Linked DNA regions of Diceros bicornis minor. The protein of the gene in region 2 purifies or fractionates together with the protein of the main gene of each other region. This does not show direct contact. Links are inferred from orthologs where the notes say so. Each region holds a gene or a part of one and is shown on either strand. Other genes may lie near its edges. The genes, in order: TLE2 and CCT4.

Evidence for each region.
Region 1: the proteins of CCT4 (region 2) and TLE2 purify together in Homo sapiens (affinity purification with mass spectrometry; 3 studies listed by BioGRID and IntAct, with this or other methods). This does not show direct contact. The link is inferred for Diceros bicornis minor from reciprocal best matches to the Homo sapiens genes CCT4 and TLE2.

Annotation. Positions count from the first base shown.
Region 1 is NW_026691553.1:2,361,850-2,377,124, forward strand, and holds the start of TLE2 (transducin-like enhancer protein 2), read right to left. Parts: upstream 7,246-15,275; 5' UTR 7,024-7,245; coding exon 7,000-7,023; intron 6,922-6,999; coding exon 6,824-6,921; intron 6,455-6,823; coding exon 6,391-6,454; intron 5,944-6,390; coding exon 5,899-5,943; intron 3,676-5,898; coding exon 3,613-3,675; intron 2,743-3,612; coding exon 2,668-2,742; intron 2,501-2,667; coding exon 2,317-2,500; intron 1,985-2,316; coding exon 1,965-1,984; intron 692-1,964; coding exon 584-691; intron 1-583.
Region 2 is NC_080751.1:25,441,026-25,456,666, reverse strand, and holds the start of CCT4 (T-complex protein 1 subunit delta), read right to left. Parts: upstream 6,476-15,641; 5' UTR 6,349-6,475; coding exon 6,222-6,348; intron 3,272-6,221; coding exon 3,219-3,271; intron 1,882-3,218; coding exon 1,792-1,881; intron 814-1,791; coding exon 705-813; intron 1-704. UniProt on the Homo sapiens protein: Component of the chaperonin-containing T-complex (TRiC), a molecular chaperone complex that assists the folding of actin, tubulin and other proteins upon ATP hydrolysis.

The DNA.
Region 1 (15,275 bases), on a different chromosome or scaffold from region 2:
CTGCCCTCTGGTTTGGCTGGAAACCAAGAGAAGACCAAAGGTTGCAGCCCGGAGGCCACCTCCACAGACGGCCCCAGCTGCCCCTCTAGACAGACAAATGCCCCCCAGCTGGCCACCGTCCCGGCCTCACTCTCCGCCTGGCCCCTGGGACGCCAGAATTTGAAACGACAGGTGCAGGAATCGCTCTGACAATGAGAGACAAGGTCCCGGCCCCCAAGGAGGGGGTCCGGGAAGGCTTCCTGCAGGAGGGAGCACTTTGTGCCTTGATGGGGAAACTGGTTTCTGAGAGGCGGGGGAAAGGGTTCTAGGGGGAGGGAACAGCCGGAGCAAAAGCCAGGTGGTGGGAAAATGGATGCGTGGTCCAGAGGTTCTGGAGACTTAGAGAAAACAAAGAGTTAAGCCAGGCCCCAGAGGAAGCTCTCTGCTGATTGGCCAGTGCTCCATGAGCCATAGGGAGCTATGGAAGGCTCTGGAGGGAGAGAGTCGTGGGCAGAGCTGGGCTCTGGGAGGCTCCGAGGGGCAGGACCAGGGGCAGGTCTAGGCCAGGCGTGCCCACCCCAGTCCTCCCTTGCCCCTCACTCACATAAGGTCCCGACAGATCCTTCTCCTCGGCCCTCTGCTTCCCGTTGCCGCCAGGGCCGCCCGGCTGCTCCTCTTCCGCCACACTCTCAGGGGGCGAGGGGGACGCGCTCTGCAGAGAGACGGGGCCGGGCGGGAGGAAGGGTCAGGACCCTGGGCAAGTCACTTAACCTCTCTCTGTCTCAGCATCCTCATCTGTAAAATGGGGATCATAATAGTGCCGACCTCCTAGGGTCGCTGGGAAGACACACGACGTAATAGCTATGGACCGCTTAGCTGAAGCGGTGCCCGGCACACAGCGAGCGCTGTTATTTCTATAGGAAAGAGCCCATTTCTGTACAGATAAATGCAGAAACACCTATTATACACCAAGGTCTCCCCCTCAGCACTGGGCGTGGGGGCCGGGTCATTCTCTGTGGGGCTGTCCTGGGCGCTCTGGGGGTTAAGCAGCATCCCTGGCCCCCACCCACGTGATGCCAGGAGCTCCCCCAGTGTGACAACCACAGATGTCCCCAGACATGGCCCAGCGTCCCCAGGTGGCACTATTGCAAGTTGAGATGAGCTCTAAGTGCAAAACACATTCGGACCTTGGAGACTTAGTACAAGAAAAAGAACGTAAACTCTCTCCTTAATAATGTTTTAGGTTGAGGAGGGGTTGAAATATTTGGATACATTGTGTCAAATAAAACAGACTATGGAAATTCAGTTCACCTGTTCCACTGTTTGTAACTTGGCTACTAGAAAATTTACCACTGCCTGGAGATTGTGGTGGTGTTTACGCAAGCCCGAACACAGGAGGAAACTGCATAGAACCACACACGCACACACATGCACACGCACGTGTGCACATAGTCAGGAACAATGCACCTGTGTAGAACTGTGCAGTCTGCATAAGCTCCGTGGGTGGTACCCACGTCAGTTTCCTGCATGGGATACTGTATTTTAGTTTCACAAGATGTTATCTTTGGAGGGCAGCTGGGCCAAGGGTGCAGGGACCTCCCTGTGCATTTCTTTGCAACCTCCTGTGCGTCTACAATTATTTCAAAATTAAACACTTTTTAAAAAATTACATACAGGGCTCACATCACATTTCTATCCGGCAGCGCTCTGGTAGATAACAGTATTGAAGGGAAGGACGGATGGAATGCTACCACGGGCATGCATGCATTTATTCAGTTGCAAAAAGAGCTCCAAGATTGAAAGATGTAAATAAATAAAATGCGAGCCTTATGTGCATCTCCCGCACCAAAAGGCTCTGGGCGGCACAGTTTGAAAGCGGGATGTGGGTCTCCGCCCGAGGCCCCCGTCAGCTCAGAACAAGCAGCTTCAGCCACATGCGGATACAAAGCAAATGTCACACAAGTCCCGGATGCCCCTCAACTTACCCGGCTCGGGGCTCTCTCCACTGGAGGGGTGGAAGTGAGGAAAAGAGAGACAGAAGGAAAAGAATGAGGGTTGCTTGTCTCACGGTGCCAGAGGGTACCGCCCTCCACAGTTTGTAAAGCCCTCTTCCCAGCTCAGAATCTCCCTTCTTGCAAAGAGTGGATTATCCCTTCTCCGCACCATCCAGATAGATGCCCAGAGAGGGGCAGCAGCTCGCCCAACGACACACAGCCAGTGGAGCAAAGTTGACCCCCACGGCCCCGCAGCCCCCCTCACTCATCCCCTCACACTTAGATCTGAGTCTGGTGCCCCACCGCGTACCCCTGCCAGTGCCACCCTGCGCTGCCCACTCACCTCTGGACCCCTCGGCCTCCATGCCTGCCCGGTCCTCCTTGGCGGCCGCGGCCAGCTGAGCCTGGGCGGCCAGTGCTCCGGACAGGGCCAGCAGCCCCGTGGCACTGCCGCCCACCAGCCCGGCCGGGCGAGGGGTGAGGGGCACAGGGGGGGCGTGGTGGGACAGCGGCTGGAGCTGCTGCTGCTGGAGACGAGGAGCGGTGGGCCGGGGGCGGCGGGGACGGGCAGAGGGGGCGCCCCGGGGTCTCGAGAGCCCAGGCCAGCTGCCCACCTACTACCCCGGCTTTAGCACCGATGGGGTGCAGGGACCTGGGGGTGGGGTCCCCCCACAGCAGGGTCAGGTTGACTCACCCCGATGAGGCTGTTCAGCTCCCCCACGGTCACCTGCTTGGCACGTTCCACGGCCTGGAGCACCTGCTGCTGATGCTGGGGGGACAGGAGGGGAGTCACCGGGGCACGTGTGTGTCTGCATTCACCCCCCCCCAAGGGTCTTCTGACCCTCGTTTCTTGCGGTTTTTGCCCTCCTCACCCTGGACCACCTTGTGCCCACTCTCAGCAGATGCAAAGGTCCTGAGGCTGGAAGACTCTTGGGGCATTCTCATGAGGGCTACGTTGTTTTTCTAAGTTTCAATAAAGTGCTCACACTGTTTATTGCTTTTATCTACTATAGTTCCATCTTTCTTTATTCTTGTGGTTACAAACATAAGAGTTACTCTTTTAACCATTAAGTGCACAGCTCAGCGGCATGAAGCACACTCACACTGTTGTGCAACTTTCCCCACCTTCTGTCTCCAGAACTTTCCATCTCCCCAAACTGAGACTCTGTCCCCATGAAGCACTGACTCCCCTCCCCTCCCCCAGCCCCTGGCCCCACCATCCACTTTCTGTCTCTGTGGCTGTGACTCCTCTAGGGGCCTCCTGTGAGGGGATCACACAGTGTCTGTCCTTCTGCGTCTGCCTCATGTCACTCAGCGTCATATAAGGTCTAACTTTTATCGGGTGTTTACTAAGCACCCGGCATCATCCTCGGCACTTTGTATGTATTAGCTCGTCCAAACACGACGACAGAGGCACAGAGAGGGCAGGCAGCTTGCCCAAGGCCACACAGCCAGGGTTTGGACCCAGGCAGCCTGACTGCTGGCTTGGAGCCCTGACTCCTCACCCTCAGGGAACCCTCCATCCCTGCGGCCCCTGCCCCAGCTGGTCCTCCCCCCCAGACCGGTGCCTGCAGCTTCCCACCGCACCACAACCCCATCTTCCGCCAGCTCCCCTGCCGCCCCCACCAGGCCCACTCACCTCCTGGGTCAGGAAGGGGATGATCTGAGCACAGATCCCACTGAGGCGCTTCACGATCTCGGCCTGGCGGGAGGCAATCGGAGGGAGCTTGGAGGGGGGCCTCTCAACACAGCCCCCCCCGACTCCAGGGCGTAACGAGCCTCTGCAAAACTCAGGGTGGGGGGCTGTCACCCGCAGGCGCAAAGTGGGCACTGAGCCAGCGAGGCACGGGCTCAGGGAGCGACGGAGGGCCTGGCGAGGAGGCTGCGTGCCCGGCGGATGCCCAGCGCAGGCACGTCACCCGCCAGACACGCCCGACAGAGTCCCAGAGAGCGGAGGCCCAGCCGGACCGGGACACGGGGAAGCTTCAAGTTCATCGTAAACCAGGCGAGGGGCCTCCGCCGGGGTCCTGGGGGCTCGAGCCCTGGCTGGGCCCATGTCCCTCTCTGGGTCTGGTCTGCGGTCTCTACCTGCAGCCAGGTGACATGCCCGGGCGCCACACTGCGGAAGGCTTGTGATGTTGTGATATGAGAAACATGTACTTGGTCTCTGTCCCCAGTTCCTGGCACAGAGCTCCTGAAACCCCTGGGGTTCCTGAGTGATGGGCTAAGGGGAGCGTCTTTTGCTATTTGTAATAAGCCCCCCTTTCCCCCACACCTGAGTTCATCAGAGGGCTGGAGCTCTCAGCCCCAGCCTTCCACCTCCAGGAGGGGAGAGGGGCTGGGGATTGAGGTAACCACCAATGGCCAATGATTTAATCAATCGTGCCAACGCAGTGAAGCCTCCATTTCAAAAATCCTACAATACTAGGTTTGGAGAGCTTCCGGGTGGGTGAACACGGGAGGTGCCGGGAGGGTGGTGCCCAGGGAGGGCACGGAAGCTCCGAGCCCCTTCCTCACACCCTGCTCTGAGCATCTCCTCCATCCGGCAGTTCCTAAGTTATAGCCCTTACAATAAATGGGTGATAGTAAACAAGAACTTTCCTGAGTTCTGTAAGCTGTTCTAGCAAATTATCAAACCCGAAGAGCGGGTCGTGGGAACCAGGATTTATAGCCAGTTGGTCAGAAGGACACGAGGCCCGGACTTGGGACCGGCGTCCGAAGCGGGGCCGTCCTGTGCGGCCGAGCCCCGGACCTGTGGGGTCTGCGCCAACTCCGGGTCGTGTGTCAGAATCGAGCTGAACTGTGGGACACCCCGCTGGGGTCGGAGTTGGAGAATTGGTTGGTGTGGGGAAAAGCCACACGTTTGGCATCAGAAGGATAGAGAGTAAAGGGGAAATGGGTGGTTTTACTTGTAGGTTTCATCCGGGACAGGGTCCAGGTGGGGGGTGTCCCACAGAGCTGAGCAGAGGGGAGGCTGCGCGGGTGGGGAGGCATATCCAGCTGTGCACAGTCAGCCTGAATTACAGGGGTGCTGGGTGCATCTGGGTGGCGTCTGTGTTCCCACCAGGAGGGAGGAACCAGGCCCCACCCCACGCCCTCCACCCCATAAGGAGGTCTATTTCACGCACCCAGGGGACCACGCCACGCTCCAGGCCAACAGCCCCCTCCGGCCCACACCAGAACCAGTGGAGCCCATACATACCCGGAAAGCATGCCCGGGGCGGGCACCCCCAGGTACCCCCACTCCCAGCCCACTCCTCTCCTCTTCCCACCCACCAGGAAGCCCGGACACTAGGCTCTACTCATTGATTCTGATATTCTGAATCTCGGGGCCCCTCTCATCCCATTAAAAGCCCTCAGAGGTCAGTCTCAGGACCTCAGGATTAATCTGGGACAACCAGACTCAAGTTCAGAAGCTTCGGGTCTATCTCAGAACCTCTGGGTCTATCTCAGAACCTTGACACCACACGCACAAGCTTAGGAGGGTCTCAGAGCCTCAGAGCCTTAGGGTCAATCTCAGAACCTTCAAAACAGTCCCAGGACCTCGGGGTCCATCTCAGACCCTCAGGATCCAAAGGTCAGACTCTCCGGGCTGAAAGGGGCCCCCCAGACTGTCCAGCCGGCCCCCTCCCGGGACAGAGGGCATCCCCACAGCCTCCCGGACCCGGCTGCCGGCCTCTGCTACGAGCCCTCCTTGGTGGGCCCCTGCCCACCGCTCGCCTCGCGGCTGGACAGAGTCTCCAGAAGCTCAGACGCTTTTTCCTTTCACGAGGCTGGAATCTGGCCCCCTGGTCCCAGAGATTTCAGGATAAGACCCCTGTGCCCTGGATTTGCTTTGCCGCAGACCGCCCGAGCGCTGGGGCCGTGTCACAGCCTCCAGACCCCCACGCTCCCTCCTGAACACCCTCACCCCCCACCCACCTACCTGTTTGTGCATCTCAACGTTGAGTCCGTAGGACATCTCGTAGTACTGCAAGAGAAAGCCAGCCGGGTGTCCACGGGCCGACGCGTCCAGTCCTGCGCTGGGGGACGCTGGCTCTTCCAACAGCCCCCCGGCTGGACCCGCAGCTTCCCAGCCCCGTGGGACCCCGGAGAGAAAGCCCAGAGGAGGATGCAGGGCCCCCCTCCACTCTCTCCAGGGAGGTGGGGCAGGTCACTGGTGTCCAGTGGCCCTGGCCCCGCCGAGATGCCCGTGGAGCGGGGACATCCTTGCCTCCCTGTTCTAAAGAGCCCGGAGGGCCCTGGGAGACAGCCTGGAATCCCAACCAGCCCACTTCACAGACAGGAAAAGCGAGGCCCAGAGAGGGGCAGGGACTTACCCTGCAGAGGCACAGTGAGGCCGGCGTCACACCCCAGTGTTTCACTCACAGCCCAGCCCTCCCCACTCCCCCCACCCGGCACCATCACCCCCCCTCACCATGACATAATGTCGCTGCATTTCCGTCTTCTCACTGGCTAACTTCTCACATTCCAGCTTGAGGCTGGGAAGGAGACAGGATGCTGGGACCCCATTGCCCCTGCCCCCCAGCTGGAGTCCCACGGACGCCCCTTCTGGGCCCGTTTCCAAACTGATCGGTTTGGCTCTCCCCCTCCCCACTTTTTCACACACGCACCCCCACCTCCTGGTCGCAGTCCCTCCCACCCCTTCGCAGGCTCTAAGTGTCCCAGTGCCAAGTGACCCCCTCCAAGCTCACCTGCGCCTCCACCTGGAAGCCCTCCCTCCCCTCGTCCCCGGGGGGCCCCCTCCTCCTGCACCCTGGAGGCCCCGCCCCCCTCCCCTGCGGGCCCCGCCCTCTCCCGGGGGGCTCCCAGGCGGACTCCGGGGTCCCCTGGGGCGGGCCCCCCCTCACCTGTGGTACTGAGCCTGAAGAAACTGGAATTCCTCCTTGATGCGGTCGCAGATCTCCAGGATCGAGAACTTGAAGGGCTGGCCGGACTGAAGCGGGGTCTGGGGGGGTCGCCGGGGTCTGAGCTCTGGGACGCCCCGGACCCCCGCCCCCGCCCCGCAGCCTGGACCCCCACTCACCGGGTGCCTTCCCTGGGGGTACATCCTGGCGATCCGGGAAGCCCCCCGCGCCGCCGAGCTGGATGGACAATGTGGGGGTGGGCGGCGAGGCTGGAGGCGGGGGGCTGCCCGGAGGAGGAGGAGGAGGAGGAGGAGGGGGCGCGGGGCAGGGGACCCCGGAGTGCCCGGCGCCCCCGAGAGCGCGCGCGGGCGGCGGGGACGGAGGGTGGCCGGGGCCCCTCCCGGGCGGGGCGCGCGGGGGGCGCGCGGGGGGCGCGCGACGGGCGCGGAGGGTCGGGACCGGCCGGCTGGGGAGGCGCGGGCGGCGGGCCCCGCGCGGAGCCGCCTCCCTCCGGCGGGGCTCGGCCGGGAGCCGCGGGCAGAGCCGCCTTAAGGTGGCGCCGCCGCCCGGCCCGCCCACCGGCCCGCGCGCCCCCCGCGCCCTCCCCTCGGCCGGGGAACCGGCGGGGAAACTGAGGCTGGCGTCCAGCCCCGCCCGCCCCGCCCCCGCCCTCCCCAAGAAAAACAAGAAACAGATAAACAAATACCTAGGCAGCCCGGTGGGGAGGGGGCGCTTTGGGGGCCTTGCTGGGCAAGTGCGCTAAGACTGCGGGGGGAGGAGGAAGCGGGCTGGCCAGGCGCCTGCCAGGGGTAGGAAGAGCGTGTGCAAAGGCCCCGGGAGGACCCAGCTGGGAGGCAGAGCCAGGCCCGGGCCCCCCCAGGATTCTCGTCTGTCAAGTGGCAGAGGCAGGCGCTCTTTCTAAAAGGCATGAGACTGGAACAGCCCTCGGCTTGGCCTGGCACTGGGTCAGCCCCAGAGATGGGAGCTGGTGTTCCGGTGGCCGCCACCTGCAGACGGGGCTGCCTCCCCTCTCAGACTATGGGGTCCCAGCGAGGACGGGAAGGGAATCTCTGCCATCAGACAGAGGCTCCTCCCACTACAGACATCCAGCGAGCATCCCTCACACTCACCCCGGAGGTACCACGTCCTTGTTCCCATCTTGCATACAAGAAACCTCAGAGTCGATCATTAAGTCAATCAACAAACACCCCTTGAGTGCCTACCATGGCCCAGCCACTGCTCTAGGCACTGGGGCTCAGCGGGGAACAACAAGACAGGGAAAAGCCCTTGCCCCATGCTAATGTTTGCACCCGGGTCAGTGGGTGAGTGAACAAAAGTGCACACAAGCCCTTCTCAAGCTTAGAGCATCGTTTCCAGCCAAGGGCTACTTCTCGAGCATGGACTGCCTTCCAGGCACCAGGAATGCAAGGGTGGATGAAGGAGGACAGACTCCTGCCTTCTCTGGGTTCGAGGGACAAGGCAAGATCACAGCTTGGCAGTGATGGAATTATCTGTGTGTCTAAAGGAAGATTTAGGGAGCAGTGGTGGAGATCAGCAGGAGGGAACCTCCTTATCTGGGGCATCCGGGAGAGGCCTCTCTCAGGAGGTTAATGTAGGAGATGAGACCTGAAAGATAAAGATGCGCAGCCCGGAAGGGAGGGGAAGAGAGATCCTGGGGATAGTGTGTGTGTGTGTGTGTGTGTGTGTGTGTGTGTGAGTGTGTCGGAAGGAGCATTCAATAGCTCCCTATTGCCATCAAAATAAAATCCAAACTCCTCCCTCTTCCCACAAGGCCCTGCACAAACCCCCTCCTGGCCCTCCCATCTCTGATCCCAACTCTGTTCCCTTTCACCCTCACTCCCTCTGTTCCAGCCACATTGGCCTCCTCGCTGTTCCTCCAACAGAACAGACAGGGGCCTGCCTCAGGGCCTTTGCACTGACTGTTCCCTCCACCTGGAATGCTGTTCCCTTGTTTCCCACCATTCAGGTCTCAGCTCAAATGTCACCTTCTCAGAAAGTCCCCTCCCAGCCACCCATTAAGCAGCATCCACCCACCCCACGCTATTATTCTAAATAAATACTGTTATTCTCAACTGCTTTTCTCTCTCTTTTTAGCTCCTATCAGAGGTTTTATTTTGGTTTGTGATTTGTTTTGATATGTTTATGTTTCTTTGTGGGTTATTCTATGCATTGTCCCCCCTAGTACTAGGCTGTGTGGACAGAGCCTGTCTTGGTCCGTGCAGAGCTTGGCACACAGTAGGTGCTCGATAAATGCACAGGCAGTCAGTGAGGAGCAGAAACAGCCGATCCAGCCAAAGCCAGAGATCCCTGGCCACACTCCTGCTGGGAAATTCTAAGAAACAGGGAGGACCACAATTCCACAATGCCGAGGGCTCGTGATTCCGGGTTCTGGGGGCGTCCGTGAAGTCCTAATTCCAGAACTTTTCCAGGAGGTGTCTTGCGTCCCCTGCGAAGACAGCATCTCCCCTCCCTGGGCCGCTAGTCCAAATCGTGGCGCCCCCTTCCTCACCTCTACTCCTTCCCACCCCGATCTCCTCTTGGGCCTTCTCTTGCCAAAAGCCCTCCACCTCCTCAAAGTCAAGGGCCCCGCCTGGACCCTCATCCCGCAGCCCCACCCAGAGCAGCCTCCCCACCCCGCCTTCTGCATGCTCTCCTAGCCGGTGGCCCTGATTCCTGTCTTTTCCTCTTTCCCTTTAGCCTGCTCGCCTCGGGCAGCCCGCACTTCTGGCTGCTTGGGCTCCAAGCCACCACATCCTTTTCCAGGCCTCACTCACCACCTTCATGAGGGTGACTGCAAACTCTGGCTCCAGCCCTGTGGATGCAGCCACCTCTAGCATCTCCCCCAGATGCCCCCCAGGCCACTAGACGTGGCATCTTCCCCCAGACCTGTCAGGCCCCACAGTCCACCCTGGTCCCCAGAGACAGAGCACCAGCCGGGCCTCCTCGCTCCCCCTCAGCTGCCATGCAACCCTCCTCCCCATCCCCACAGCCCCCGCCCGCACCAGCCCTTAATCACCTCCCATCTGGACTTCAAGCCACCTCCCCACTCTGAGCAGCCTTCACTTTTATCACCTTCCCTTTGAGCCTGGCCCTCCCTCACTTAAAACTCTCCCATGGCTCCCGATTGCCCTTGGGACAAATTCCCAGATCTTCAGGCTAGCATCAGAGGCCCTGCACCAGCCGGCCCCGCCCAGTTTTGCCTCCCTGCACCGGTTCAAACGCTCTGCTCCAGCCACACCAGCCAGATTACCTAATCTGTGTTCTCTCCCACCTCTGGGTCTCTGCTTCCGTTGTTATCTCTTCCTGGAATTCCCTCCCACTGCATTTCTGCCTGGAGGAAGTCCACGCCTTCAGGGCCCAGCAAAAAGGCATGTCTTCCCCGCATCTCCTCCAAAGTCCCAACGTCTCCTCCAAAAGGCATCTCCCCCTGCCCCATGCCTCCCTCAGCCCAATGTTGGTGGTTAAGTGAGCATTTATTCTATAGCCACCTCCTTCTGCTGGAAGATGCTGGGCCCTCAGCCAGCCTCAGGCCTTGCAGGGAGAGCTAGGGGTGGGGGGCGGGGGACAGAGCAGAGCACACACTCCCAGGCCCACACAGTCAGTGCCGGGACAGAGGGAGCGCCCAGGGCGCGAGGTCCCCACAGTGGGAACGGGGCCTCTGCAGAGGGAGTCCAGAGGAGGCTTCCTGGAGGAGGGGGCCTTTCCTTTCCCCACCAGTCTTTCGATCTCCCAGCCAGGCACACTCCACAGGGGAGGGTAAATACAGATTTGTGGATTGCCTGAGAGGCCACAGACCACACACACACACACACACACACACAGCGAGAGATGGTGTGTGTGACCTGCCAGGAAGGAAGAGATGTTTTGTTCTGAGCAGCAGCATCCCCAGTTTTGGGGGCAGAATTTGGGGAGGCTCCGCTGAGAGCAATCTGAGAGATGGGGGGACCCCCAGGCGGCCTGTGGCTCCATAACTCGCTAAAATGGCACATCCGGCCAGAGCAGGAGGCAGGGAAAGGACTGGCCAGGCCAGGCGAGAGTGACAGTCTGGGCCGCCTGGCACAACCTTCTCATTTCTCCAGCCAACTCCTTTGCCATCGGGGGGCTTCAGGCCCCACCTCCCTGGGGCTCAGTTTCCCCATCTGCAAGATCCAGGAAGACGCTGCCAAATGGGGGAAGGGGCTTAGCTTCCAATCTCTCCCCTCCCACTGCACAGAAGGGCTCAGCCCCGGTGGTTCCTGGCTGGCTTTTTATGATGTGGATGTGGTTGTTTTGTTTTTTTTTTTAAAGGAAAAAGCCGAGAGGCAGCGCTGGGACCCCGGGTTGCTCAGACCACCTTAAATCAGCCTCACCGCCCCAGCTACTGTGGAAATTCCTTTCTCCGCGGTGGTTGGCTGCGCGCGCCAGCCAATCCGCCCGCGGCGCTCCCACATGGGTCCGTGACGTCACAATGGGAGCTGGCCAATGGGGCTCGGGGAACCGGCAACCAATGGCAGGAGGCTCTGGGATCCGCTGGGCCAATCGGAAGGCGGCGAGGCGCTCCCGGCGGGGTATGGAGAGCGCGGCTCCCCCCACCGAGAGGGGCTGAGACCCTCGTGGACGCGCGAGCTTGGCCGGGTGGAGGCGGGGATCCGGCTCGATTGTATCCAGAAACAGGCAGAAGCAACCCACCCCTGAGCCTGGCGGGTCTCCCCGTAAAAACAAGAGTCCCTTGTGCAACACGCTATCTTGCAAAAACCAGAGCTGCTAGCCCTATTTCACAGATAAGTAAACTGAGGCAGAGAGGCGTTGAGTCATCCTAGACCCCCCCCCCCCCCCCGCCAGGGAAGAGCTGAGACCTCCACCCGAGCCCGGAGGCTCCCAGCACGGCTCAGTTATTGTCCCCAGGTCCGACGGGGGAGGGATGGGCCTCCGTGTAGGCAGGGAGGGGGTTGCTGGTCCCCGTGCCTCAGTTTCCCCGCGCGCAGGCGGGAGAGGGGAAGGGAGCAGGGGTTCTCGGAAAGACTACAATCCCCAGAAGCCCGCGCGCGGCGCCCGCCCGGGCTGCTGTCAATCAAAGTAACGTGGGGCCCTCTCCGGGCCGCGCTCCCCCGCCCGCCGCCGCGCTGCTGCCAGCTCCCGCTCCGTCCCCGCCGGCTCCGGGCCCGGCGCGGTATAATTACAGCCCATTGATCCGACCCGGGCCGGGAACGCGGCTCCCTCGGGGAGGCCGGGCCTTTGGCTTCCGACATCGCCAGCCTCTGCCTGCCGCCCCCCCCGCAGAGCCGCTGGGCCACCAGCCAGGCCTGTCCCCTCCCGCCTGCCAGGGCTCGCGGGTGACCTCTGGGCCTCCGTTCCCGCCGCTAGAAATCACTCACGTATTCCCTTCCACCCAGGCACATGGGGGGCCCCCCCCGTGTGCCAGCGCCCCCCCCCCCGCGTGACCTTGAGACTCCTGAGGGCCCCTCTGGGGCCTCAGTTTACACACCTGTAGAGGGAGATGGTTGGACAAGACTCGTGGATGACACCAGTGCCCTCTGGGGTCCCCCGAGTGAGCAACCAGGCCTAGACCATGCTAGGGACTCAAGGAGAAAACTCGGAGCCCCGTGTGGTCAGGGCCGGGGTAGAGGGAGCCACCCGGCCTGGGGGTGGGGGCAGAACCAGGAGGGAGGTCCCTGTTGGGAAATTGGAAAGGCTTCCTAGATGGCAGGAGGGAGTGTTTAAGCTGGGGTTCTGCAGAATGCATAGGAGTTGCTTCCTTTGAGCAGTGCATTTATATTACCCTAACCCAAAGTGGAAGAGGAAAGATGGGGCAACCATAAGGCCCCCCCCCGGGGGGAGTGAAGACCCTTGAGCTCTGACCCTGCCTGGGTGGCCCTCTGGACATTCCCTGGCTGTGAAATGGGAGGAAGTGGACACCCACGGGCTGTAAGGCCCTCTGCCTGCTTTCACATGGGTCTGTGAAGTGGCAGTAGGCTCTGGCGGATAGGAGTCAGGGAAGTGGCAGCCAGTGGCAGGGGCACTAGGATGGCCGAGGGCTCAGAGCTCCAGCCTCTCGCCGGGCGAGAACTGGGCAGCTCAGGGGAGAAGAGAGGGGGAGTCCAGGATGGCCCTGGGCTCAGTGGCTCTCCTCTCCTCGTGTGGAAAACGAGGTTGATACTAGAATCTTCAAATAAGTTACTTAAAACAGTTCATAGTAAGTGCTCAGTAAGGGCAGGCGTCTGTACTCCCATTATGCCCCCAAAGGGCCCTCTCTGCCACCCTGACCTCACACCCCACAGCTGGACTATGCCCTCACTCTCCATCCCTCCCACATCTCTGATCACCCTTTAAAATGTGAATCAGACCCCATCCTTCCCTCTGCTCAAGAACCTGCCATAGCTCCCCATCACCCTCAGAATAAAATCCAGACTCCTCACCTCTGTTTACATGAGGTGTAACTCTCATGAGGTGTAACACTCACTCTGCTGCAGCCACACCGGCCTCCTGGCTGTTGCTCCAACACACCAGGCCCAGTCCTGCCCCAGGGCCTTTGCACAGGCTGTTTCCTTTGCCTGGACCATGGCTGGCTCACCTCTTCCTTCCAATCTTGGATCAAACATCCCATCCTAGCAAGGCCTCACTGGGCCAGCCTGGCTACAGTAGCCCCCACCTCCCTCCCTGCCTCTCTCGTTTCATTTCCTCCAAAAGCCCCCTCACGCTTGGAACACTGACTATGTGCTTGTGTGTTTATGGTCTGCCCAGGCCCAATGCAGTGCCTGTTCCATATAGCAGGAGGATGAAGGGGCAGTGCCCAGGTCCCCAACATGCAGAGCAGGGCTGCAGAGTCCCCGACAACCTGCCCCATGCTGACCTGGCCTGCAGGGGGCGACTGCACCCTGAGATCACAGCACCCCTGGAGGCCCGGGGTTCAAATCTCCCCTCGGCCACTGTGTCCAGTGATTCTGTAAAATGGGGGAAATGATAGAAATTCTTTATCTGATCCTCATAGGATCAAACAGCTGGAGAGATGAACCGGCCTTTGCTCTTATTATTGTGCGAGAGCGTGCAGGGCCCGGCAGGGACGACCCCCGGTGGGGGAGCAGGGCAGGAGCTGGCACCCCAAAGGCGACCCCTATTTTTATGCTCCTGGGGTCTCCTGGCCATTGCACCTGTCCCTGCCCAAGCCACCTCCAAGTCGCGGCCTCACCTTCCACTTCCTCCCTCCCTCTGGTTGGCTGAAACCTTTAATCCTCGCTGGGCCCGGTCTGCTCATCTGCAAAGGGGCCCAGCCCTTGACCGTGACCCCTACTGCCCCCCATATTCCCGCCGCTGGTGTGTTCACTTGACCCCGGCTGGAGGCTCGGGGACCCTGCAGAGCCAGCAGCCCCCTCCGCCTGGAACCCTCCCTCCCTGCAGCCGTCTCCCCCTGGCAGGCTCCGACTGTCACCCAGGTCTCAGCTCAAATGTCGCCTCCTGGGAGGGGCCTCCTCCCATCTCCGGCTTAAGCAGCCCCCTGTCATCCTCCGTCTCCTGCCGGTGCTGCCTTTCTCTCCCTGGCACTTGACTGTTCCCTGACATTATCCTATTCCCTGGCTTACGTGTTGTCTGTCTCCCCCCCCTCACCAGGCTGTGGGCTCCACGAGGGTCGAGAGGGGCTCTATCCGGGGCCCCAGGCACCTAATAAATTCCGGCTTGGGAGTGGGGGGTAGAGGGGACGGCGGCCAGGCCCAGAGACGCCTAGAGCCCTGCCCAAGGTCACACAGCGCGGCGCGCGCAGGGTGGGCGTCCTGCGGCTGCTGTTCAGGGGCCCCGGGGCCACCCCTCCCGCGTCCCAGGCCGGGCCCAGCGCCAGGTGGCCCGCCCCTGCCCCCGCCCCGGGGAGCCCACCATTAGCACGCGGGCCGGCCCAGCGCGCTCCCCGACAGGCCCGGTCAGGCCCAGCGGGGACGGGAGCGCGGGCACCTCCCCGGGGCCGGGATGGGGGGGGGAGGAGGAGGGGGGAGGAGGAGGGGGGGAGGAGGAGGGGGAGGGGACGCAGCGGGAGGAGGCGGAGGGGGAGGGGCGGGCCTCCAGGCCTGGCAGGCGCCCAGCGACAGGGCAGGGGGGCCTGGGGGTGGGAGAGGTTTGCAGGGGGAGGTCGGCTGCGAGGCGGGGATGAGGGGAGGGGGGCACAGAGCGGGCGCACGGGGAGAGGAGGGAGGCGAGGGGAGAGACAGCCAGGAAGACCTTGAAGGGCAGAGGGAGCTGGACGCGGAGACGCAGGCCACCCAGAGGCAGGGGGCGGAGGGAGTCAGAGAAGGGCAGATAGCCCGGGAGAGGGCCTCGGAGGGCAGTCCTTGGCGGGGGCCAGGGGGTGGCGTGCCCGCGGCTCCCTCCTGCAGCCACTATGTCAGAAAACACCCTCCCGAGCCCCCCCCTCCAGCCTGCTCATCGCGCATCTGGGTGTGTGCGCCCCTCCCCTGCTCCAACGCCTCCC
Region 2 (15,641 bases):
ATTTAATTTGGAACAGATCAATTACATATTCATGTGATATTTAAGACTGAAACCGGGGCTGGCCTGGTGGCACAGCGATTAAGTTTGTGCTCTGCTTTGGCGCCCTGGGGTTCACAGGTTCGGATCCTGGGCGCAGACCTACGCACCACTCATCAAGCCATGATGATGCGCTGTCCCACATAGAGCAACTAGAAAGATGTATAACTATGTCATACAACTATCTACTGAGGCTTTGGAGAGAAAAAAGGAGGAAGACTGGCAACAGATGTTAGCTCTGGGCCAATCTTCCTCAAAAAAAAAAAAAAAAAAGACTGAAACCAATTTTATACTTTTCAAAACACCACAAATGTACATAAGTAGAATAAGTGACTTGAGAGTCGCTAATATGATTAAGCACTATCTACCAAAGCAAGAACCCATTCTCTCTCTCTCAAATCACTGATCTCATCCACAGCCTAAGATTAGTAACACCATCACCACTCAGTTTTGAAAAGCAAAATTTTATCAAGTTCCATTTTTGCCAGAAGCCTGGCAAAAAAACAGAAGCAAAAAGAAAAAATTTTCTAATTCATGATAATCACAGCAAAATTTAATCTAAAAATTCCTAATAAAAAGATTAGCTATTCCAAATTAAATCTTAAATCTCTTATTACTGAACTTTTTGCCTTTATTCAGTAATAAAGCATGTCCTATGTCCTACCTACCTTTCTGAAGAAGCTTGGTACAGGAATCTAAGAGAGAGCCAGCAATGATGACCACTGATGTGGTGCCATCTCCTGCTTCTATATCTTGAGCCTTAGATAACTCCACCAGCTAAGTGAACAGAACATGTCAAGTTGCTCAGTGAGAAATTTGAGAACCTAATATCCTCTAATTTAAATATAACATCAATGGCCATCACATCAGTTTCACAATTTATTATCAACACTATATTGATTACTATCAACACTATAAGATTTAATATAATTTTTCACTTCTATTTGTTGTCTATCTTGGGTATTGTTGAAAAAATCACAACATGTATTTGTGGCACACAAAACTCTACTTATATACTTTCTCTATAAGAAGTTATGATTTCCAGTTCAGACTGTGGGTTGTAAATTTTTTCTTCCCAGCTACTTACAAGTTCCTGTCAGAAAGCATAAATGATATTGTACCATAGGTACCCTGTAGATTTGGAAGCTATGAAATGGGGCACTCAGAGGAGAGTAGAGTGCCAGTTTGGAGTCTTTTGCCAAGTTTATCTGAACTGACCCAGTATAAGCACAATGTGATTCATGTTCAGTCATCTCTATATAATTAAGAGGAACTTTTTAATGGATAGAAATTTCTAAGGAACTTGCTTTTGCTGATATGGTAACTTTTCACTTGACACTGGAATCATCATTATGATCCTTAGTTAAATGGGTAATTGTTTTTTATAAACATCAGTGCAAGTTTAGACACGATTCATTTTGCATACAATTAAAATTATTTTGCTCTCTTCTAGCTAACACTCATTGAACAATTTGTACCATTTCATATTTTTATCTCCTCCTTCCTCAATTGTATGGCACATTCCCCTGTGGACAAGGACAAGATGATTCATGTTTTATTATGACCTTGAACTGAAGAGTTAGACATATAATGTACCCTAAAAATACACCCGTCTTGCATAAGGAGAAAAAATTTTCACCATGCTCAAATGGTATCATGTGACCACATAAAACAAATTTAACTGTATACCAAATATCAAACAATACACTTAAAAAAAAAAAAACAAAAAAAAACTCACCTAAAAATTATACTTACCATTCTGGCTGCTGGATGTAACACTTGCATTTGTTTCAGAATGGTAGCACCATCATTTGTAATGGTCACATCACCTTTTCCATCTTGAATCTGGTAAGTTTGGTTTTTTCAGTAAGTTACATTTCAAAAATTTTGTTTTCTTTACCCAGCATTAATGTGACACCCTAATTAGCTCTACTAACTTGACTATTTCTTAGTAGAGAAATTAATTCATGTTTGCATAGTGCTTAATTTCAAATTATCTTCCTTTACATTAGTATAGTCACGTGCTGCATAATGACGTTTCGGTCAATGACAGACCACATATAAGATGGTGGTCCCATAAGATTATAATGGAGCTGAAAAATTACCTAGTGACATTGTAGCAGTCATAATGTCTTAGTGCAACACATTACTCAAGTGTTTGTGGTGATGCTGGTGTAAACAAACCTACTGTGCTGCCAGTCATATAAAAGTATAGCACACACAATTAACTATAGTATATAATACTTGATAATGATAATAAATGACTCTGTTACTGGTTTATGTATTAACTGTAAGGCTGTATCATCTAGATTTCTGTAAGTACACTCTTGATGTTTACACGATGATGAAATCGCCTAATGACGCATTTCTCAGAACGTAGCCCCATTGTTAAGCAACACATTGCTGTATAATGATTTAAAAGTATTCAGTAATAGTCCAACTTTACACATGAAACAGTTGGCTTTGTTCCAGGATACTTAAATGTGAACGAATCTAGACACTAAAAAAGATACCATAAAGAATCACTATCATTCCTGGGTTCTTATTAATAATAAGAAGCAATACCATGGATCCTCAAAAAGACAGTACCACGAATGTGGTGAAAACAGTTCTTATAGTCAACACACTAATGTGCTTCTTAGTACTCTCAACAAAGGGCAACAGCATAACTAGGAGGAACAGACTTTAAAATATCCAGAGGGAATAATGATCTGTATATCATCCAGACAATCCTCCATATTGTTTCCTTATCTCTCATTTTGGATGTTAACTAGGACTAAATTTGAGGGTATATTACTCAAAAGTTATTGGAATGTATCTGTTTTATGCTGCCAGTCAACCAAGCTAGAAGCAGAGTTGAAATCCCATAGACTTGTGTCAGGTCACAGAGTTACATCAATAAGGAACACTGAACTGAAGCCCTGACACCTAGCCTTACTATACTTTCCATCTAACTACACAACAGATAACTACTTTTGTGTATGTACTTTCATTGCTTAAAAAGCACTAAAAACCAAAATATGAATTATAGTTAAATCCTGTTCACCCCAAAGTAATCTATCCCTCTTCTGAACTATAAAAGTACCTTCTAATACTTTTTACTTTTTTGAACAGCACATTTTGACTCTCTATAGAGATCATGCAGTATGGATGGTAGCACCCATTAAGTAATGAAGGATTACCATTTTATCCATTCCTTTTGGTCCAAGGCTTGTTCTAATTGCATCGGCAACAGCTGTAAACCAAAAAAAAAAAGAAGAAATCAAGACTCTAAAGAACAACCCATTTCTCTCCTCAAATAATCATTTTCTCTCTATTAGGATATGGTGTACAACAGTTCACTGTGTCCACCAAAAAAATTCATTGTCTAATAATAATTGACTGGAAACAAAATAATTATGTTACTCCTTTAATTGTATGACACTTCACCTTTTGTTGTTAAACTCACTATACGTAATACTTGTGTTCCGCCTATGGCAGAATAAATTTTAAGGATTTACCTAATCTTCCTTTAAACATCAAAATGGTACAATCTAGTTATGTGCTAATTGAGGACTATTTTTTTCTCCATTCCTTAAAACAAAACAAGCAGACCTCCTAACATACTATATAATTCACTTATTTGTTTACTCTCTGTCTCCTCTAACTACAGAGCATAATTTCTGAGGGTAAAGACTTTTGTTTGCTATTGTGAAGCTAGAATATGGATAGCCCAAGTAAAAAAATACCCTTTGACCCCAGAACAAAAACCCAAGCCCCACCAAAAAAAAAAAACACCCCAAACAAACAAAAGACCCAAACCTTAACTAAAAAACAAAAACTAAAATCATAGCTTTTGGTCATCATTAGTACGTTATGAAACATCTCTGGATATACAGTCTACCATTCCAAAGTTACTTATTCTTATTACTTGTCCATGAGAATATTTCTATTTTATTAATCCATTTGTTTTCTTAGAGAAATTGGAATTGACGAACAGTACTTGATCCCCTTGTCTTTGACAAATCCAGGACAAATGATTAAATCTTCCCCTTTCGCACATACCATCTCACCCCATCTACAGAGGCCTGAGATTGTGCCCCAGTTTTGTATACTCCACAACTACCACAATGCTTCCCTCCATATTGTGTGAACAATAATACACAATCTTAAAGAGCTTAAGAGAAAATACCTGGTATAATTTAAAAATTATTTTCTACTTAATTATTTCATAATTTGGGGCTTCTGTTCCTAATTATCAAGTCAATTTTACCCTTTCAAGCGATTTTAGTTGACCTCCATGACGATTATCCTATAAACAGACCGATTCATTTTAGAATGCCCTTCTATTCATCTATGTGAAGACTCTAGAATAACACACTATTCAAAAAATAAGATTTCAGACAGCTTACATCTCTGAAGGTGTCTGAAGTTTAGCATACTGTGTGGATGACTCATGCTGAAGAGTACTAGAACTACTACTACTTTCATGTGTGTGGTCTTTCAAAGCATCAACCAATGGGATTATCTTTTTGGTAACATAAAAAAAAAAAACCTGGCTCCCCAAATTAAACTAAACATGCACCTGGCAGCAGCTTTTCTCAATTTGTAGGGTTTTGTCCGACTTGGAAAGACTAGTCGTGCCCCTTTGCTCTATGAGTTCCCCTCACTTAAGATATAGAGCCAAGTTCCTAGACAATTTAGGTGACATTTCGTTCCTACATGCATACCTCTCTTGCCCAGTCTCAATTCTCTGTGCACTGCTGTTTCAAAGGTTACTACAGTAAACCTCCTATTCTGTATCTTCCTTCTTCGTTGACAATCTACTGTATTATCTAGCTCTTCTGACCCTCCACGCGCCCCAGAATTTATCTGACATCTAATGTAATCAATCTAAGCTTCAATTACACTCCCTAGACAACTATCTACCAAATTTTATTTCCAGGTATACATTCTCTCCTGAACTTTCAAATGACTCCTAAATCTACCCATCTGGTCACTCAGACCTCTCCAACTCATTCGGCCCAAACCACAACCTCTTCTCTCTTCTTCCAGCATCCTTCCTCCAGTGTACCTACTTCTTTTAGCATCACCATCACGCGCGCAGTGACTTGGGCCGATGGCCTCAAATACCTGTAAGGCTGTACTTTATATCCGTGGCTCTTTATGTGCTTTCTTCTTTAATCCTCACAGCAAGCGTACAGGTTAGCTCTTACCTCATTACGACGAAGAACAGCTGTAGTGCAGGAGCTACGCCAAACCCTTTCCAGGACACCAGGCCCTTCAAGATTTGGCCCCATTCCACCTTTCCAATCTCACCTCTCATTTCTTCGTGCACTTTATTCTCTCACCGAAAGAAATACTCACTGTACTCAAGACACACCACGGGCAAGATCTCTAAGCCTTTGTTCTCACTTTTCCTTCCAGACTCTTCTATCTCAACCAGACTTCTCTTAATCCTCACAACTCTAAGAGAAGCGAACATTTTCCTCCTCAATTTTACACATAACGAAAGCTTGGCTAGAGATTAAAGGTCACAAAAGCCACGAAATAATGTAAATAGAATGCAACTCAGGTCGTCTTAATTTCCACCAAGAGCCGAACACTGTTCTTCAAAAAAGGTAAACTGTCCCTATGTCTCGATTTGCTGGTGTTCGGTTGCACACGCAGAGAGGACACAAAAGCACAGTGTAGCTTTTTATAATTATTCTCAAACGAGTTGGGTAAGTCGGTTCCCCACACCCCGGTACAACGGGCCCCGCCACAATTGAAGCGCGGAGAGTTTACCAGATTCGCTTCAATAGCTGCGCCGAGAAAAGCTTACTTAAATGATATTTTTGTAAGAAGAAAACTGGAAAGTACTGTGCAAACAACATTCTACTAGTGGACCTAGTCAGCAGATAAGCGACAGCTCTTAAGTGTCAGATCCCAAGGGACCGCCGCACGCGGGCCTCGGCCGCTTTCTGCTGAAGTGTGATAAATGGTGCACAACCCAGGATGGAAAATGATGGCCGTCTAAGACCCAGACTGGGGCAAGTCCAAAGGCCTCCATACTTGGGGTCTGGAATTCTCCGCAAAAAACAGAAAGAAGGGTCCCTTCACAGAGCTGCTTCTACGGGAGGACAAGAAGGGATCACCTAGAACAGAAAATGAGCCGTGCGGAGCGCGACCCCGCAGGGCCGCGGGGAAAGCCCGGGAGGCGATACCTTTGGCCGCGGAGATGTTGCTGAAGCGGATCTGGGCCGGCTTATCGCGGTCCTGATAGGCGCTTTTCCCGCGGCCGCCGGCAGTCCCGGCGGGCGCCCCGCTTCGGGGTGCCACGTTCTCGGGCATGGCAAGCTTTGCGGGGTCTGCGCGGACCCAGGAAGGACGGATGGACTCGGATTCCGGCTCGGCGCAGACTAACAGTGGGCGTCCCCCACCTTCACGAATCTTCCAGAAAACGGAGCCGGCGCCGGGAGGAGGAGGTTGAGAAAGGGGCCTGCCTGGCGGCGCGGCGCCGGCATGACGTCACAGGCTGCCCCCTGCGCGCCGGGTGAAGCGACTGCGTCGGGGAGCTCGGGACTCGCAGGGGATGTTGCGCAGGGCGCAGGGGGTCGGGGGCGCGGTGGGGCTGACTCACACGAGGCAGAAAGGACAACCCGCGATTGTAAAGGCAGGAGTTGGGACACCCACATCTCCCCACCCCACTCCCTGGCCATGAGGTCCCTTCCGTTAAGTCAAGCTAGACCTGTCCGCGAGGTGGTGTCCGTACCCAGATTGCTCCCGAATGGTTGGGGCTGAGCCGGTTTTTGTGGGGCTGCATAGAGCTGTTTTTAATTCACTTTTATTCATTGTGAAAGGGGGGTCGAAAGAGAGATTTGGGAGGGCTGGCTGCTTTCCTTTGCTTTAAGGGTTGGCGTTGGTTGTCTCGTATTGATTAATACTGGGTAGTAGAGATTTAAATATACACTGGTTGAATACCACAGTCTTAAAAGTTTTGCAGCTATGATTGCCTGCCAAATCGGGACTGTCTGGTTAGTACAGCTTCCTCGTTTTACACTAGTTTGTTCTACCTAACGTAGCCATTGACTCTTAGGAAACCTAAGTATTTTAATAAACGATCATTTAGTTCAGTTATGCGCTAGGCGCAGTGCTAAACCCTTTACACGTTTTATCTCAATTCTCACAACAAGCCTATGAAACAGTTGCCTTTATATTTTTTTAGTAGATAAAGGAGCCGCAGCAGAAAGAGAACTGAAGCCCAATGTACCAGTAAGTAGATGGAAGCAGTATTCCAGTACAGAGCAATGACTTCAGAGGTCATGAGCTAAACTGCTGGGCTCTTATTACCACTGTATTTTAATATGGAAGTTTATGCAGGTGAGGTTCATTCAGTATTCATTCACAAATAATTATTAAGCACCCATAAAGTAACAGATGCCTGGATAGGTACAGGAACAGTTGTTCCAAGTACTTAATCCTGTGATCCTGAGGAGCGTTTATAGCATTCAGTGTATTAGCGCTAGAAGATGAGGCTTCCTAGGTGCTCTGCCATCCGTAAGCCTCTGGGACTGACTTCAAAGGACCAGATTACTTCTATCTTGGCCTATGAACATTCTATAGTTATTTAAGACAACCGATGTGGTATGATGGTGTTTTGAGAGGTTTGGTGGATTTGATTGGAGGCGTAAAGGAACTTTTCAACACAGACGAGTGGACTGAGTGTATACTTTAGTATATAGGGAAGAGTAAAGGTAAAGGCAGCAAACAGATTATATAGGGAAGGGTAAGGACAAAGGCAGCAAACAGATCCGAATAGGTCAAATAATAAGAGGGAAAAACATCAGGTCGATCGAAAAGGGAAACATCAGATCGACCGAGATAGAAACAGATCCGAATAGGTCAAATAACAAGATCCGATTGATCGAAAAGGGAAACATCAGACCGACCGAGGGGAAATAACATCAGATTAATTGAAAAGAGAAGCATCAGATCGGGTACTTAACAACATCTACGCCGCGTGGGGGAGAGTCCCTTGAATTGACACGGCTTGGCGGGAGTTCTGATCAACAGTGGTCCTGGGCAAGGCGTCCCCCCCACAGGCGAGATTCTCGCCCAAGCAGAATTGTGAGTTGCTTTTATGCATGTTTTCATTTAGAGACCATCTCTATGGGAACATTTGGTTTTTTGTTTTTTGTTTTTTTTCTTTTTTTTGCTGTTATGAGGTGTGTATGTGCACTGCAACTCCTGGTACTTATCCCTGACCGACACAGATGGCCAGTCTGTGTCTGTCCTTGACATCCCAGGAGTTTTATAACCTAAATAGTTGTAGCTAGTATTGTGGGAGAAAGGCCGGTTTCCATCACAAGCAGCTGCTCTGTATTTTTTAGTGTGGCTGGTTTCCTAGGGTCACCAAGCGGACAAACATGGCAACACTTATGTTGTCATCTTGGCCGTGGCCACTTGGTTATCCGTAAGAAACCAGCCGCATGGACAGTGAACTTTATACACAGCTACACATAAAACATCCTGTGATTACAAGGTCGATGCATAAGACAAATAGAAAGCAATCAGAACAAATAGATCCCATATGCCAGGGTAACCACTTAAACAATTTTTTGGAATAAGAAATGTTATCAATTTGATTTTGTAAGTCATTGATTATAGAATTTAAAGTAGAGGTTTTATTAGTAACATTAAAGCAACATATTTTTGGTATTTGAATACATGAAAATTTATGTAATAGGAAAAGGTAATCTAGCGCTGCTGGCTGCTTGTTGAATCAATGTTTCCCTTTATAACTCTTGTAATTTTTTTAGAAATAGTAAATAAAGCTCTAACAGTGTCATTCATAATATGAGTGAGTAAACAGGACAGATGTTTAATTTGTTTGTGATTATTTACAATTAATTTTGGATCGAGTAACAACAGGGTAGCTAATATTGTCACTGTGGATATTGGTAATAAGTTGACATGTGGATCATAATCTGGAGTTAAAGTTTTCTTATATCGAACTCTTTCTTTGGGATATGTAGCAAGCAGGGGTATTATTACTCCTACTCCACAAGTCATTGAAGTATTTTTTGGAACATATCAATAGACTTGATCACCGCATAGCCAAAATAGTTTTGTAGGAAAAGTTACAGATGTGGCGCAAGGGGTTACAGTATGATTACAATAGGTAGGGATATAAGTGCAATTAAGGGAATAACAAGTGGTACTGGTAGTACTAGAAATAGGAATTGAGGATAGGGAGAATGAAGTACTGGCGTTAACAGATGAAGTAAAAGTATGGCTATGGGGTAGACCTAATCCTAGCAAGTTAGCTTGGAGTAAACTGGGAGGATCATTATTATTGCGCAAGCAGAAAGAGGTAACATTAAGAACATTGTTAGCCAAATGAAGCCAAATATTAGAGTTACCTAGAGTGTTGGTGGCATTTGGTAAAATGCTGAGAAAAGCAGTATTGTTTATATATGGAGAGTTAGGTTTCCCTTTTTTTTTACTCAATGTATGAATAAAATCTTCCACTTCATAAAGTGGAAGCAGGTAAAAGGATGGAATAATTTGTATTTTGTCTGTGTGACTGGTCAGAAATGTTATGATATGACGAGGTGAAAATCAGCCTTTGTGACCAAATAGTCTGTTTATTTAATGTCCAAGTTACAGGTCCAACTGGCGTGAAGCAGTCTGTCTAGCACTGCAACAGCAGTGGTTGTCCAACCATGACGTTCAATGGCATAGCAGTCCGAAGAAAACAGGAGGTGCTCATTGTGGCAGCAATCAGCAAGCTGATTAACAGTACCTATTCACATAAAGAAACAGCATTTTTAGGAACATGATATAGATTATTGTTTTTGGGGTATATAACAATTAGGGTGGCTGTGGTTCTTTGTGCTATGATTTTGGCCGCTTGGGAAGCAGTATGCGGAGGGTGTGTAACTCAAACTGGCTCTAGGTTTTCAACCATATGTTGAGTTGAAGCCTTGTAATTTTTGGGGGGGGATAAAATTGAGGGAGGGCTCCCCCTTTTTATTTGTGGTGTTATTAGGGGAAGGATAAGTAGTTGTCCAATTTTGTCTTCTTTTTGTAACCTAGTTAAAGGTGTGTCATTAGGTCCTATAGGCCTATTGTTTAAAATATGCAAAGCAGCGTTTAAATGTGCATACCAGTTTTGTAAAGAATTTTTACTTAATTTGTGTAGCTGTTGTTTTAACAATTTATTTATTTTTTTAATTAGACCAGCAGTTTGGGGTTAGTAAGGAATATGATATATCCATTTAATATAATTTTTTTTTGGCATAGGTTTGTATTCACTTACCTGTAAAGTGGGAACCGTTGTCACTCTGAATTTGTCTTGGTGTTTTATAGTACAACTTAATTGTATTTAATAATTTTATGGCACTCTGCTGGGTGTCTGCTTTAGTCGGCATAGCTAATAAATAGCCGGAATATGTGTCAACAGCAGTGTAGACGTAAATATAGCCACAAGAATTTGGCAATGGTCCAATAAAATCTATTTGTCATGTATGGGTGGGAAATAATCCCTTTTGGATATGACCTTGGTAGGGGTGTGGAACTCCCCATTTAACTATTGGCATATTGACATTGTTGTACTGCAGTGGCAATATTATCATGGGTGATAAGGATTCTCCTTTGTTGTGCCCACCTGTATGAAGCTTGTTCTCCCAAGTGTCCACTCTTTTCATGGATCCATTGTGTTAAGTCTGGGTTGTGTGTTGCACGAATTTGCACCAGCTGATCAGCATAAGAGTTATATTTTTGTTCTGTAGAAATTAAAGAACTGTGAGCATCAACATGAAATACAGTAATAATTGTGTTTTGGCACCATAATTATATGTTTTTTTATAATTTTTTTAGTGAGACATAATGTTTATTTTTATAATGAATTTATAATACAATTAGACCACAGAGATGTAATCATTTTATATAAAGCCCATTTAAAAATATCAACTTTTATAAAATTTTATCTTAATTTTATTACTTTTATATCTCTATTACTTTTATTAAGATTTTATTAACAAATTTTAGTATTACAATACTGTGTAGGGAAAGCATTCCCAGCCAGATATAATATTTATTTTCAAAAAACACATTTAGACAAAGTTGACATAAGCTCTTTATATAATATTAGCTTAAATACTTTAATTTTTATAGTCTTATTAACCTGAGTAGCCTAACTGTTGCCCCAAAAACTTTTATCCTTTTTACATCTATTTTGTTTATTTATTTCCAATAATTATATTTAGATTGTCTACAAAAACCTTATGAGATGTCAGACAGAAATAGTTATTATTTTGTTATTACCTTTGTTGACTAATTTTGTAACAGAGATAACATGAGCTCTTTTGATCAGTAAACCCAGGCTGTATGTCTGTGTTATATCTAATGTTGATAACTCTGAAAACATATTTATTTTAATTAAACCAACAAACTTAAACAAGTTTTTATTTATTAAAGATTATATTATGTTAACTTGAAAGACATTTAGGCTAGTTTTTATTATATTTAGAAATAACTTGTAAAAGTGTTTACTCTAAGCCAATTAAATAGAGCTCCTTTAGAAACTGTACCATCTGGAGGCCGACAAATACACATAGAGACAGATAAACACAAACAGAGATCTTCAAAATTTTAGCCAGGTCTCAGGTACAAAACTCAGAAGAACAGTTAGATCCAAACAGTTTTTCTAGCAGGTGGATCTGCTCAGATGGCCAAAAATATTTACTAAAGATTTTTTTCTTTTGTTGTAAAGCCTTTTTACAGGTGTTTTTGAAATAACTTTGTCTTTTAGAAGTTTCTGTATATTAATTAAAGACTGCATCTCATCGTGAGAGGTTTTGAATCCTCTCTTTTAAGGGTGACCCTTAAGGTGAACTCGTCTGAAACAGAGGTTCCCCAGAATGACCATTATAATTTCAAATTATCTCAAAAGTTTATTTATTTTCACTTGCTTAATTTTAGATCAGGAATTTTGGGGGAGTTGAAGTGGGAAGCTCAGCAAGGGAGGAGAGAGAAGCAGATTTAGCTTCAGCTGTTGGCATGTTTAATATTTAATTATTTTTTTTTAAAGAGGCAGTACAGTATTCCTGATTTTATTTAGAAGCCTCAAAAGATTAAAATAGGCTTCCCATTGGTTGTTTAACTTTTTACCTGGCTTTTTTTAATTGCATAAGCAAATACACCAGTTTTGGTAAACTGAAATTGCCCCATTTTGGCCACTTTCTCTCTGGAGTCTGTGGAATATTGTGGCCATGTGGTGTTACAAGAAAAAATTATCTTTTTCTTGGACGTGGGCTCATAGCTGAAGTCAGCCCATTTAGCCAAGAGGTGGCCCAGAGAGCTTTTCCTGGGGACAAATGGAGGCCCCCCCCTTCAAAATTACAAACGTACAGAACAGAGAATCAGATGGGATCCCAAACAGGACAGGTGCCCCCAACAGATTTTGGGTAAAAGTCCTATAATTATTTCCATTCCAGTAGGGATAGCCCTGCATCTCAAAGAGATAGGACCCCAGATGGAGTGGAAGGGAGTTCTTGGTGTAAGCAAAAACAAACAAACAATTTTAGAGCCTGTTTCCCTGTCATAAGAAAATGTGCCCAGGGTCAGCTGTGCTGGGTCAGAAGGAAAACACTGAGAACAGTCCCTAGGGCAAATCACCTAGGCAGCTGCTGGACTGTTTCCCAGGACATCCCAGCCGGCCCAGGGCCGCCGAGCCATGGGCAAGAGCCTCCCAGCTGGCCTGCCAAATTGTTATTGGACACATATCCAGGCTCTCCATTTGTCACATAAGAGGGGCCAAATAAAACTAAAACGCCAGGCTTATGGCAAAGAAAGAGTTTTTATTTTGGGTGACGTCAGCCGGGACCTGGAATCTCCACCTTGGTTTCAGTTACCCTTTGTCTGAATAGGAAAGCCATCTCCTTAATGGAATCCCGCTCACAGTGCAAATTATGTTTTGAGAGGTTCGGTGGATTGGATCGGAGATGTAAAGAAACTTTCCAACCCAGGCGAATGGACTGAATGTATACTTTATTGTATAGAGAAGGGTAAAGGCAAAGGCAGCAAACAGATTATATAGGGAAGGGTAAGGGCAAAGGCAGCAAACATATCCGAATAGGTCAAATAACAAGAGGGAAAAACATCAGGTTGATCAAAAAGGGAAAGTTCAGATCGACCGAGATAGAAACAGATCCAAATAGATCAAATAAGAGGGAAATAACAACAGATCAATTGAAAAGAGAAACATCAGATTGACCGAAAAGAGAAAACATCAGATCGGGTACTTACAACATCCACAGAGAATCCCTTGAATTGACATGGCTAGGCAGGAGTTCTGATCAACAGTGGTCCTGGGCAAGGCGTCCCCTCCCCAGGCGAGACTCTCACCCAAGCAGAATTGTGAGTTGCTTTTATGCGTGTTTTTATTTAGAGACCATCTCTATGGGAACATTTGGTATTTTTCCTTCTTGCTATTATCACGTGTGTACGTGTACTGTAACTCCCGGTACTTATCTCGGACCGACACAGATGGCCAGTCTGTGTCTGTCCTTGACATCCCAGGAGTTTTATAACCTAAATAGTTGTAGCTAGTATTGTGGGAGAAAGGCCGGTTCCCATCACAAGCAGCTGCTCTGCATTTTTTAGTGTGGTTGGTTTCCTAGGGTCACCAAGCGGACAAACATGGCAACACTTACATTAAGTCAGATGGAAACAAGTGTGTAATGATGGAAGTGGCATTAATTTGGGGGACCAAAATCCTGGGTTTGAGTTTCACCTCTGCTACTTATTAGCTATGTGACCTTGGGCAAGTCACTTAAGTTCTCTGGGTCTCATTTTGCTCATCTATAAAATAGGAGGATTGAACTAGATGATCTCTAAAGGCTTATTAAACTCTACCAGTTTTATTAGTGTAAGATGTAGACCTGTCAGCCGTAGGGGACAGCAGAATTTGGAAGATGCCATTATTGGCTTTTGGGGACAGTCTCCATGGGTAGGATAGTTGTTTTAATTACCTGAAAATTTTCAAGTTATAAATATTTTTCTTTTGCTGTGACAACTGAAATTGGAATTATTTTTCTTTCTGAGATTAAGCAATAAGTAAATGCTAAAAATTTGATTACTTAAAGGTGTTCATGTATATTAATTCTCCACTAGAATGTGATTTCAGTAAGTATTAAAACATACAAACTTTTGTAGGGTACTTTATGTACACAAAGCTCTGTTACTAGTGAAGGATAGAAATACTGAAAAAATCCTATGAGATCCAAGCAGACTTAAGGCATATGTGGGAATGCTGGCAATAACAACAGCCTTGTGGAATTTCTTCAATGATTTGTAAAATAGGTTTTATAAAACAGTAATACGTGGCCAACCAGCCAAGTGAGGGTTCTGTCTAGGATGGATGCTGAACCACATGCTAAGCCCCCAGTAATAGGACTGAGCTGGTTTGGATTGGAAAAGGAGGCAGGGGTGGGTATATCTTCTCTCAGGTTTTCACTCAACTTCAAAGACAATTTTTTTTGTGTGTGTGAGGAAGATCAGCCCTGAGTTAACATCCATGTCAATCCTCCTCTTTTTTTGCTGAGGAAGACCAGCCCTGAGCTAACATCTATTGCCAATCCCCCTCCTTTTTCTCCCCAAAGCCCCAGTAGATAGGTGTATGTCATAGTTGCACATCCTTCTAGTTGCCGTATGTGGGACACCGCCTCAGCTTGGCCGGACCACCTCAGCTTGGCCGGACGAGCGGTCCGTCGGTGCGCACCCGGATCCAAACCCCGGGCCGCCAGTAGCGGAGTACGCACACTTAACCGCTAAGCCACAGGGCTGGACCCCCAAAGATAATTTTTTATTGTTATTATATATGTTTCTTCTCTTCTGCATTAGTTTATATTATTGAGACCATCATTAAGCCCTATTTTCCTAATTCATATTATTTGTGTCATTACTTTTTTTTAAGTTTAGCTTGCAATATTAACGTGAAGCAGAAGCCTGTTTTCCTTAAATATATTTGGATTTTCCTAATTTTCCCTGAAAGGTTCCTAGTTCACATTTTTATCACTTTCTAACCCTCCCAATTAAAAGATCTCTGTCTGGGGCCGGCCTGGTGGCGCAAGCGGTTAATACGCACACTCTGCTTCGCAGGGCTGGGGTTCGCAGGTTCGGATCCTGGGCGCGCACCCATGCACCGCTTGTCAAGCCATGCTGTGGCGGTGTCCCATATAAAAAAAGTAGAGGAAGATGGGCACAGATGTTAGCTCAGGGGCAATCTTCCTCAGCAAAAAAAGAGGAGGATTGGGATCGGATGTTAGCTCAGGGCTGATCTTCCTCACAAAGAAAAAAAAAAAAGATCTCTGCCTGAGAATGGGAGAAGGAAAAACCAAAGGTGGTGCTGGCTAACTTAGAAGTTTCATGATCTATTATAAGTAAACAAGTAACCAGATTTGCTATCTAAAAACAGGAACGAACGAACTAATATTTAATTATTGTACTATCAAGAGCTATAAAAATTGCAAATTTGTGGGCAAAATAAGTGATTGGTGTTTTGGGGGTCTAATTGTTGATGTGGTGGGGCACAACACAAAAAGAGAGGCAAGCAGACGTTAGGTACTTCCTGATGGAAG